2 linked regions of the Neodiprion lecontei genome follow. The protein of the gene in region 1 binds, or shares a complex with, the protein of each later gene. Links are inferred from orthologs where the notes say so. Each region holds a gene or a part of one and is shown in the gene's direction. Other genes may lie near its edges.

Evidence for each region.
Region 2: the proteins of integrator complex subunit 9 (region 1) and integrator complex subunit 11 are in contact, whole or in part, in a cryo-EM structure (PDB 7SN8), measured with the Drosophila melanogaster proteins. The link is inferred for Neodiprion lecontei from reciprocal best matches to the Drosophila melanogaster genes IntS9 and IntS11. Residues at the interface, in NP_648838.3 of Drosophila melanogaster: Glu128, Tyr198, Asp199, Glu200, Lys201, His230, Asp333, Ser334, Ala337, Tyr338, Asn340, Ile341, Glu344, Gln351, Val354, Tyr355, Leu356, Pro357, Asp358, Asp359, Pro360, Arg509, Lys510, Leu511, Asp512, Arg513, Ile514, Tyr515, Ile516, Ser518; in NP_651721.1 of Drosophila melanogaster: His94, Lys97, Ala98, Pro135, Thr137, His139, Gln140, Ser141, Glu149, Lys151, Lys274, Thr277, Tyr278, Lys280, Met281, Phe282, Ile283, Thr284, Trp285, Phe294, Val295, His296, Val450, Lys451, Ile452, Pro453, Val454, Asp455, Ala456, Ser457.

Annotation. Positions count from the first base shown.
Region 1 is NC_060264.1:21,327,825-21,333,099, reverse strand, and holds the start of integrator complex subunit 9, read left to right. Parts: upstream 1-2,075; 5' UTR 2,076-2,198; coding exon 2,199-2,207; intron 2,208-2,473; exon of another isoform or gene 2,474-2,581; coding exon 2,582-2,776; intron 2,777-3,121; exon of another isoform or gene 3,122-3,156; intron 3,157-4,410; coding exon 4,411-4,815; intron 4,816-5,275. UniProt on the Drosophila melanogaster protein: Component of the integrator complex, a multiprotein complex that terminates RNA polymerase II (Pol II) transcription in the promoter-proximal region of genes.
Region 2 is NC_060266.1:4,405,130-4,410,313, forward strand, and holds integrator complex subunit 11, read left to right. Parts: upstream 1-1,864; 5' UTR 1,865-2,073; exon of another isoform or gene 2,074-2,181; 5' UTR 2,182-2,204; coding exon 2,205-3,701; intron 3,702-3,904; coding exon 3,905-4,195; 3' UTR 4,196-4,378; downstream 4,379-5,184. UniProt on the Drosophila melanogaster protein: RNA endonuclease component of the integrator complex, a multiprotein complex that terminates RNA polymerase II (Pol II) transcription in the promoter-proximal region of genes.

The DNA of each region.
Region 1 (5,275 bases):
TTAATTGAATGATTGATTACATTGGTACGGTGAAAATTGAAAATAAAAAAAAAAGATTTTAATTTAATCAAGCAGCAACGACGACGACGATATATCTTCTACCACCACGTGAAATATTACAAACAACAATATCATTGAATTTTAATGACAAGAAAAACAAATATTGTCAAACTTCTCGAAATAGTTGATGAAAAAAAACCGTCTCATTGGCAACTTTATTATTCCGACTTGCATAACGTAATTATTTACTACCTATAATAACTATTATTATTATTATTAATAATACTATATAGCAACAGAAACTTCACCCCTCCTCCTGTTTTCACAACAAACAAAACTAGAAACGAAAAACTTATTAATTATTTAGCTCGGCTTAATTATATTTTCTATCTAATTATTTACGGAAATAAAATCTTATATCGTGCGATATTCGAGAAAATAATGTTATTATTTTGAATTTTTTTTTTTTTTTTAACTAAACTTTGTACGTTGTGTCGCAATTAATGATTTTATTTTTCTCAACGCGAGAATCACGATGCATAATTTTATTTATATTTAAATGTACTTATTCTTATTATTTTAGCCTAATTTTGCTAAGTGAGTATTTAATCAATTTCCGTGGTAGTTGATAAAGAACTTATTTCGCTCAACAAATTGATGTAGGAGATGATTGAATATATATTTTCTAGAGTTGAGGTTTCAAATGGAGGGCTTTCTTGGAAATGAAATCTTGATTTGCTTAATTATATATTATAAATGAAAATTGGTTGAACGGTTGATTTTCAAAAAAAAAAAACGGACATACCATCGATGAGAATAAGAAAATGCAAAAGTGGGAATTGCATCGTGCTGCAGAATTGGATGAATACGAAATACAGCAAGGTAAGTGCGGTCTTAATCAATTCTAGTATAGTCTTCGATTAGAATTATTGCAAATAATAAGTCTTTACAAATTCAATATTTATATAAATTTACGGTTTTGTATGTAATGTACTTATATTTTATTCCTGACATTCTAATTATGTTCAAATGTAGTCCAGTTGATGGGGAGTAAAACAAACCATTGCACTACAAATGGTGGGATAGTAGTGATTGTCGTGTATGTATTTTCGGCCTTTGAGGAGAAGGGTCCGTGCGATTCGCCATCCTGGATTAGTTGCAAAAAATTGGTCTTGTTATAATAATTCCTAAGCGGTTGATCCTGCAACAAAAAGTTATTTAAAAAAAAAAACAAATTTTTGTACGTTTGATCCGAAATAGCGGATCGCGTGACCCCCTTCCCCCTACTCAGGAACACACAGTTACAATTATTTTGTAATCAAACAAATAAATTCTCATAAGTACAACGCTATCGAACTCACTCTCGCATGAAATGGATGAATAATGATCACCTAGGAGTGTAATTCAGAAAGGGATAAGAGAATCAGGCATTCGCAATTCCTAGAACTTTGACGTCACCGAGCGACTGCTGAACGCTAGATGATCCGCCAAACCGGAGCGAGCGGCAGATCTCGTCCGACCAGTGCGCCGGGTTCACTTTAGCTACACTAGTCAATTCTAGCGTCTTTTGAAATACGACAGAATTTGATGGAATACGGTGCTGACACACGGTGCTAAATGTGGTTCGCAAAGTGTCCCTCAATTCTGCCCCCAATTTCCACCACTAGTGGCGCTAGTAGTTAGTTGCCCAGCATGTTTAAAACACCGCCAAAACGAGCTGAAAAAATACAAGGTTAATCTATTTTTTAGCAAAAAATCTTTAGTCTCCGAATCAATTTGTATGACCCTTTTTTGACTAATTGGACCCCCAGAACACAGAAAACCCACTAAAAAGAGCGTAGGACCAGCAGCAGAGAAATTGCCAAGGAAATTTTCGGTTTTTGACTGTAACTCTTGATCTACCCTGGAACCTGTCTGATATCCTCAGTCAACAGCTGTCTGGAAACGAAGTCTCATTTCAATGAGACCGTGCACGTGTGCCAATCAGAAAGCTTCAAGCGGAGAATCTTCCCTACCACTCGAATTAGGTTTCATGCTCTCTAGCTAGTCTTCTGCACCATGCTTGCACCGTGTGGCCGAGTAATACCGAGGATTCGGAAAGATTATGCCTTGTTTTGAGAGCAAGATTGTGTTTTGGGTTAGAAAAATTGAAAAAACACTGGGAGAAAATTACGATATCGTCAATTCAAATCATTCAAATGAAGCTGGTAAGAATGATTGTAATTGCGTTATATTTCCTTGAGAATAAATATGCCATTGGCATAGAATTTCAATCTTCGAACGGCTTTCTAAGCTTCTAATTGAACATAACCTGACCTAGCCCCATCAACTTACAAAAATCCAATTATTGAATTATGTATCACGTAAAAAGATATGATTTCGATAAATAAAATACATAATAAATTTCAGAAATTCAATTATGACAAATAAAATGGTTTTTCAGAAACAAATTTCACCAGATAATCATAAATACCTTTTTGTTCTTATATTTTCTTGACAAATCGATACAACTACTAAGTATTCATCATATGTTTTTCTTTCTACATTTATTTCAATTTTATTTATTTCATTATTATTCCAGTACTGCCTGTCCAGCGAGCCGACAAAGCCATGCCTGGTCTTGAGCTTCAAAGGCATAACGCTAATGTTGGACTGTGGTCTGAACATGCAGTCAATTTTGAATTTCATGCCGATGCCCATGGTGCCTAGTGCCAAGTTCAACTCCCTTTCCAGTTGGGTTCCCAGGGATAACAATCAGGATTGGCAAATTGAAGGGGTAAGACCTACATTATGTCACTGTCTCGATTTTCAATTACTATTATAGACTGATGAATAAGAATTCTCGACCTCGTATGTAATCTATTATAGAATCTTGGTGATCGGTCAATTAAGTAAACGTATTTTTAGTTAACGTTTCGACCCGGATATGGGCCCTCCTCAGAACGATTTATTTTTTTAACTGTCAAGAACAACAAAAAGATTTTTTATAAAATAAATAATAGTACTAGAAGTAATCAGACTTAAATATTGTAGATGTAATACTCTTAGAGCTATTATATATTATTGATTAGTAAGAACCTTTTGATTAATTGAAATAAGAATGTCTTTAAGTGTTATTTACCTTTTTTTTTTTTTGAATTAAGTAAGTGGACTAAGATGTAGTCGAATTCACAATTACAATTGGTGGAGACAGTGTTCTTTTGAGTGACGGTAGTCAATGTCAATCTTCAAGTTATTTTACATGTGGGAGTTAATAGTTGGAAGTCATTAGTTAAAAAGATGAAAGAACTATGTTTCTTCACAGTCAGTATGTCATTGTGTTAAAAGGTTTTTAAAGAAGGTCTTTTTAGCCATAAAATTAATTCGCAAGTGTCAAAGAAGTGGAGGTAGGCTCTTTATAATTAAGTTCCACATGTCTAACAAAAAATTATTGTTGGTTGAACCGATTGAGTCAACAGGTGAATAACGACTGATGGGAGAAAACAAATATAATCCAGAGTGAAGGTGAACCTATTATAAACAATTATACAGAAAAAGGAAAGGACTGTGTAATGTGGACAAAAAAAATTTTTTTTGTATGTAGTAAAGGTTAAACAATATTTGTTGTGTGGGCGGAGATTAAAGGTTTGTAAATATTACTTAAATGCTCAACATCTTGTCTAAGATTAACAGAATTGGTGTGACCTACAATGTTGCACATTTCTAGTCAGTCTTCTAATAACAGTCTTCTATAATAATTGTGTTCTTCACAAAGGATGTTTGTGTTGTCGTAATTAAAAGTGTGTTGTTTATCGATACTACGTTTTGTTAGAGCTATGTGACGCTCTTCAATCTCATGTTGAAACTGTTGAAACTGAATTCCGATTTTTCCACCTTTCAATAAGTTTCCTTGGTTCTATTATTTGATGAGTAATGCTATCATTTTTCACAAAGAGAAAATTTGTAAATTTCTGAACACTTGTTATCAGAAGAATTGATAACTATCGAGAAACAAATGAGCCAAGGTGAAAGGTTGTTCGAGTACTCGTAACATCAAATTAAAAGTATGAAATAATCAATTACCCAAAATACTGCAGATTTATCAAGGATACCGATGAATCGATTAATTGAAACAATCGATTGAGTGAGAACATCGATGATTCCGTTAATCGAAAAACTGGTCAATCAAAAACATTGATGAATCGACTAATCTGAAAATCAATTAATTAAGAATACCGATGAATCATTTTATTAAAAAACCAATTCATTGAAAATTTCGGTTAGTCGATTAATCGTCAAACTGAATTGAAATATGAGTGAATCGATAAACAGGGAGAAGAATTAATCGAAATGTCAGAAGAATCGTTTGAAAATTCTAGACCCAGATGCAAAAATTGCATTAATGAAACTGGTATTTGAACACATTGCCAGGAGCTGAAAGAGAACTGTGGAAGAGTATTCGTTGATTCAACGCCAGAGTTTTGTCCACCGTTAGAGAAGATCACGGATTTTTCTGAGATTGATGCGATACTGATATCGAACTACACTTGCATGCTCGCACTGCCGTTCATAACAGAAGGTACGGGGTTCAAAGGTATAGTTTATGCGACGGAACCGACCCTGCAAATCGGTAGATTCTTCATGGAGGAGCTGGTTGAATTCATCGAGCAGACACCTAAGGCTATGCTGGCCAAACACTGGAAAGAAATGCTCCATGTTCTACCTCCGCCACTCGCCGATGCCATGAAACCCAAGTCTTGGAAGCACCTCTACTCTATGGCCGCTGTCAACTCTAGCCTTGCCCATATCCAGATGGTCGGTTACGATCAGAAACTGGTGAATATCAATCTATTTGTAGTCCATGGGACTGAATTAAAAGTTGGGAGCAGAGAAAAAACGTTTAGAAAATCTCCAGCAGTGTTGGTTGCACCAATAACGGTATCTACTACGTAATTGAAATGATTCCGGGCCGATTTGAATTGCACAAACTGGCATATCAACAATTTGCAAAAACGGTTTCATGATTAAGACGTTCAAGGTGCTCAAACTCTTGTGTTTTAGATCTGATCCTAATGTTTTTGGGTTGAGTTTATTCACTATAGAAATCTACGGTGATCCCTTAAAAAAAATATCGCTAATGGTTATCTCCAAAATCGATAAAAATAGATTTTTGTAAGTACGTTTCCTAAGATTTTCGTCCATAATTACATTTATGCGTTATAACTATTCTATATTATAAAATTTCTTGAATGTTTTTTAAACGAATTGTAAGGATCTGGTCAGTGAGTAAAATATC
Region 2 (5,184 bases), on another chromosome or scaffold:
TAACTCGAATACTGATAAATGTTCTCAGTATTGTAAGACATCAAAAATATTGTATAAGGATTAATATAATTTTTTTACCGGCACATTTCACCAAGAAATTTATGAGAAAATTATAAAAAATGATTGCAATTTTATTAGCTATTGCTTTGATAGTACAAAACATGACGTTTTGAATAATAAAACTTGTAAACTCAAAAATTAGTCCGGAAGGTCAAAAGTCATCAGGTCAAGTACCTGGACAGCCAAAACTACGGAACGCTTGTTCTGGAAGTCGAGTTTCTGCAGGTAGTGGACCTTGAGCGCAAAAACTACGGAACGCGTGTCCTGAAAGTCGTGTTTCACCAGGTAGCGGACCTGGAGCAAAGAAATTACGGAGCGCTTGTCCTGGAGCTCGAGTTGCACCAGAAAGTGGACCCGGAGCGCAGGATTCAGGAGGTAGAGAACCAGTTACTCGAAATCTGCGGAGCGCGATTCTCATACGTCCGCTCTACCGCGCGGTTGTTTACAGACTGAGGAATTCGGTTAGCTGATTCTATATCGATGACGTCGAGAGAAACAAAATTTTCGGTTGCATCACTTTCTGAACGTCCGAACATCCAAACTTTGGTTTCGAACTTCAATACTATGCATGATGTATGGTGATGTATGATGTATGATGTACGATGATATGATATGATGTACGATTTTTGATTTTACATTTCAGACAAGAAATACGCACTTTATCTTTCCTGCCGATTCCAGACTCAAGCGGCTAGGCCCTTCGATGGTCAGCCGTTGACTGAGGATATGTTCTCCAGTTAACGGGTCAGCTAATAACGCTGTCATTCTGCGACAGTTGGAAGATAAAAATTTTTGCTTGTACCTTTCAAACGTGTGTTAAAATACACTCGAAGTTTTAAGAAGCTTCGTTCTATCTCTCCCCATCAAAAGAAGAAAAAAAAATCGCCGACAATCACCTTTTCAGGTCTTTAAATCAGGACACTGCGTTAAATACTGCCTAATATACGGAGCATCCATTTCACCTCGACCAAAATTAACGCATTCGTGATGTATTACAGTTACTCCGAATTTTATTCCATATGAACACTTTTCGAAAAACAATTGTGCTTCTCTACCCAACGTAGATACTTCACTTGCGACTAGCTAGAACGGCGTTTCTATTCTATACCTACGAAAATACAAGATCGAGAGAGCAAATGAAAAGTTGTTGAAATAATTGTGAATAATAATGTTATGGAATACATCGAGCGCTTGTCGAATAGAATCCCATTTCGAAATGAATAAGTCTTCTATTTTCGTATTATACCCGATTATTGTAGATAATCTAGTTTATCTAGTCTTCTAGAAAATTATAAAATTTATAGTATGCATCACGTATTAATCGTAAATGGATCATTTATATTAGTATCGTACGTGGACCGCATATACATATATACTTTTTGGTCTCTGCATCATTATTACATCTGATCTATTATTATTTGTGATCCATGTATACATTCTCCTCTCGGGTACCTATACTTTAATTAAATCACTGTTTTGCGATGAATTTTGGAAGAAATTTGTTCTCATTATTAATTTCCTGAATCGCCGACAAGCTGGTAAGTATACACAGGCCAAATACTGGCTTGGACTTACCATTGCGAAGACTGTGTTACTCGGAAGGCGAATGGGGTAAATGCAACCAGCAATCATGTCGAAATCGGTAACCCCCTGATGTTCTGCAATAAGTTCTCAACTCTACCATTGGCAGAGAGAAACCTCTATTGGAACATTTCAGGAGGCGCAAGCGCACAACGATTTTCGGTTGTCGTACCAAAGCCCATAGGGAAACTGTCTTTACATTCTTCAGTCAACGGTGAGTATCACTCTGGTGGTGATTTACCCATATGTAGTCATCTCGTAGTTGCACGATAATCCTAACCTAACCTAACCTAATCTTATCTTATGAAGATCTCTTTACTTATCATGTTACTTGACCTCCAAAATATGTCTATTATCTAAACTAATATGGCTAAAGCCTATAAATAATTAATATACACCAAACAAAGTGAATCAACGAAAATAAAATTGGAGGTTAGTAACGGCATCGCGATGTAAACACAACACGTTCGTACTTAAAGAAAATTATTAAATATTCGCAATTCCGACCTTTTCTATCTAGAAATTTACTCAAATCCACAGACACGATTTAATAATCACAAATAATGCCTGATATCAAAGTAACGCCTCTTGGCGCAGGCCAAGATGTGGGCAGGAGTTGTATTCTGGTTACCATGGGAGGTAAAAATATAATGCTGGACTGCGGTATGCATATGGGATTCAACGACGAGAGAAGGTTCCCGGACTTCTCATACATAGTGCCTGAAGGACCAGCCACTAACTACATAGACTGTGTCATCATCTCGCACTTTCACCTGGATCACTGTGGGGCGCTACCCTATTTCACAGAAATGGTGGGCTACACAGGTCCGATTTACATGACTCACCCGACCAAGGCGATCGCCCCAATTCTCTTAGAGGATATGCGCAAGGTAGCAGTGGAGCGAAAGGGTGAGAGCAACTTCTTCACCTCCCAAATGATCAAGGACTGCATGAAGAAGGTAGTCGCTGTTACGCTGCACCAGTCAGTCATGGTTGACCCTGAACTGGAGATAAAGGCTTACTATGCAGGGCATGTGCTGGGCGCTGCGATGTTCTGGGTTCGAGTAGGTTCGCAGTCCATTGTCTACACTGGTGACTACAACATGACTCCGGATCGGCATCTAGGAGCCGCCTGGATCGACAAATGCAGGCCAGATCTGCTTATATCGGAATCAACGTATGCCACCACCATCCGAGATTCGAAACGATGCAGAGAAAGAGACTTCTTGAAAAAGGTGCACGAGTGCATAGACAGAGGCGGCAAGGTTTTAATACCAGTATTTGCTCTTGGTCGCGCCCAGGAGCTCTGCATACTATTAGAAACTTACTGGGAGAGGATGAACTTGAAGGTGCCTGTGTACTTCGCCCTTGGTCTGACGGAGAAGGCCAACAATTACTACAAGATGTTCATTACATGGACCAACCAGAAGATAAAAAAGACGTTTGTTCAGAGGAACATGTTCGATTTCAAGCACATAAAGCCCTTTGACAAGTCCTACATCGATAATCCTGGCGCCATGGTGGTCTTCGCTACTCCTGGGATGCTGCATGCTGGACTGTCGTTGCAGATTTTCAAAAAGTGGGCACCCAACGAAGCCAATATGGTCATCATGCCGGGGTTCTGCGTCCAGGGAACTGTCGGCCACAAAGTTCTAAATGGCACTAAACGTATCGAGTTTGAAAACCGGCAGATCGTCGAGGTCAAAATGGCTGTGGAATATATGTCATTCTCAGCTCACGCTGATGCGAAAGGCATCATGCAGCTGATTCAATATTGCGAACCTAAGAACGTAATGCTCGTTCATGGTGAGGCTGCAAAAATGGAATTTCTGAAGGAGAAAATTAGGCAGGAGTTTGGTACCAGCTGCTACAATCCAGCCAATGGAGAAACGTGCGTTATTTACACTACTGCCAAAGTTCCCGTCGATGCCTCGCTAGCCCTTCTGAAAGCTGAGGCAAAGAGATACTCTGCTCTGCCTCCAGATCCAAAAAGAAGAAGGCTCCTACATAGCGTGTTAATGCTGAGGGAAGACGGCGTTTGTCTAGTTGATGCTGACGAGGTAATACACTTTGATATCCATCATAAGTCATCTCACAAGGAATTTTTATATTTTCCTTTATGATGCATTACATCAGTCATGATTTGAATACAGTTTTCAAACATTTTTCAAAATGTGTAATATAAATGGTTGCACATTTTCAACCTCAACAAAGTGGGCGAAAATCAATAGTAACTTTGAATCACATTCAAATTGATTTCCAGGTTGCCAGGGCAGCAGGAATCACAAGGCATGTAGTAAGATTCACGTCTACAGTACAAATAAGGGATCCAGGTCCTGCCCACGCGACAACGCTCAAGCTTTTGCAACCATTAACGGAAAGATTAGTAGGATGGACGGTACAACTCACTGATGGTGCGATATCAGTAGAATCAGTATTGGTTAAAGTCGAAGGAGGTGAAGATGAATCCAAGAGCGTGTATGTTTCGTGGACGAATCAAGACGAAGATTTGGGAAGCTATATTCTGGGCTTCTTGCAAACAATGCTCAACTGAAATCTTTCAATCAAATTTCTATGAAAGATTTTTATACACAGGATTTTGTATAAAACTTGTGCGTGTGCACAAACATATAGATATATAGGATTATTGACTGATTGGTACTTGTAAAAATTCATTGCAGAGATACGTCAACCAATCACCCCAAATTCGTCTTCAATAAAATTCATTGATTTATAAGAAGTGTATTTTATAATTGGTCGTATTTTGACTAAGAACCAAGACGAGCAGTTTCCATATAATTTCTCTGATGTACATATCATTCCATTGTATGATAATGATGATTTGGTGAAAAAAATGGTAATAACTTGATAAAGCACTACCTTTGCAGCATGGTTTACCGAGTCATATTTTTTTATGTTAGCTCTGTACATAAATCCAAATAAATTCAATAATTTATTTGCCTTAATATAATGTTTCCTTGATTTTAAAAAGAGTAAAAACTATTGCTTAAATCACTTAAAATAGATCTTAAATAGATTTCTCAACTACTGACCCTTTTCGAATACAATATTTTAATTTGACGGAAAATTAAAAATTATCAATTTTCTATTCTTTCGAAACGTGACAACTTTCAGCAGTAATATTGAATGTATAATATTCGAAAAGTGAAAGCTCAATAATTGTGGCATCCACCTTAAGCATTACATTGCTACATTGAGTACTTGATATCAACAGGTTCTTAATCTTCGATTTACAATGACGGATTTGACAATTTACGCAAAATAAGTCATTAGATCGAATCTCGTAAAAATGTCCGGTTCGGTTACCTGAAAAATTTATAAATCTTACTTAATAGTGGACAGCGACAATAACAAACCACGAAGAATTAATTTTCATACTTCGCGATTTCGTTGTTTCACTGCAAAACGATTAACTATCTATTAACTTCAGTAAGACATTTGACAAAATCATCAGTACTCGGAGGATGAGCAAAAATTCAAGTGATTCTGAACTATAGCGTGCCCCGCTGTCTAGCGGATAAT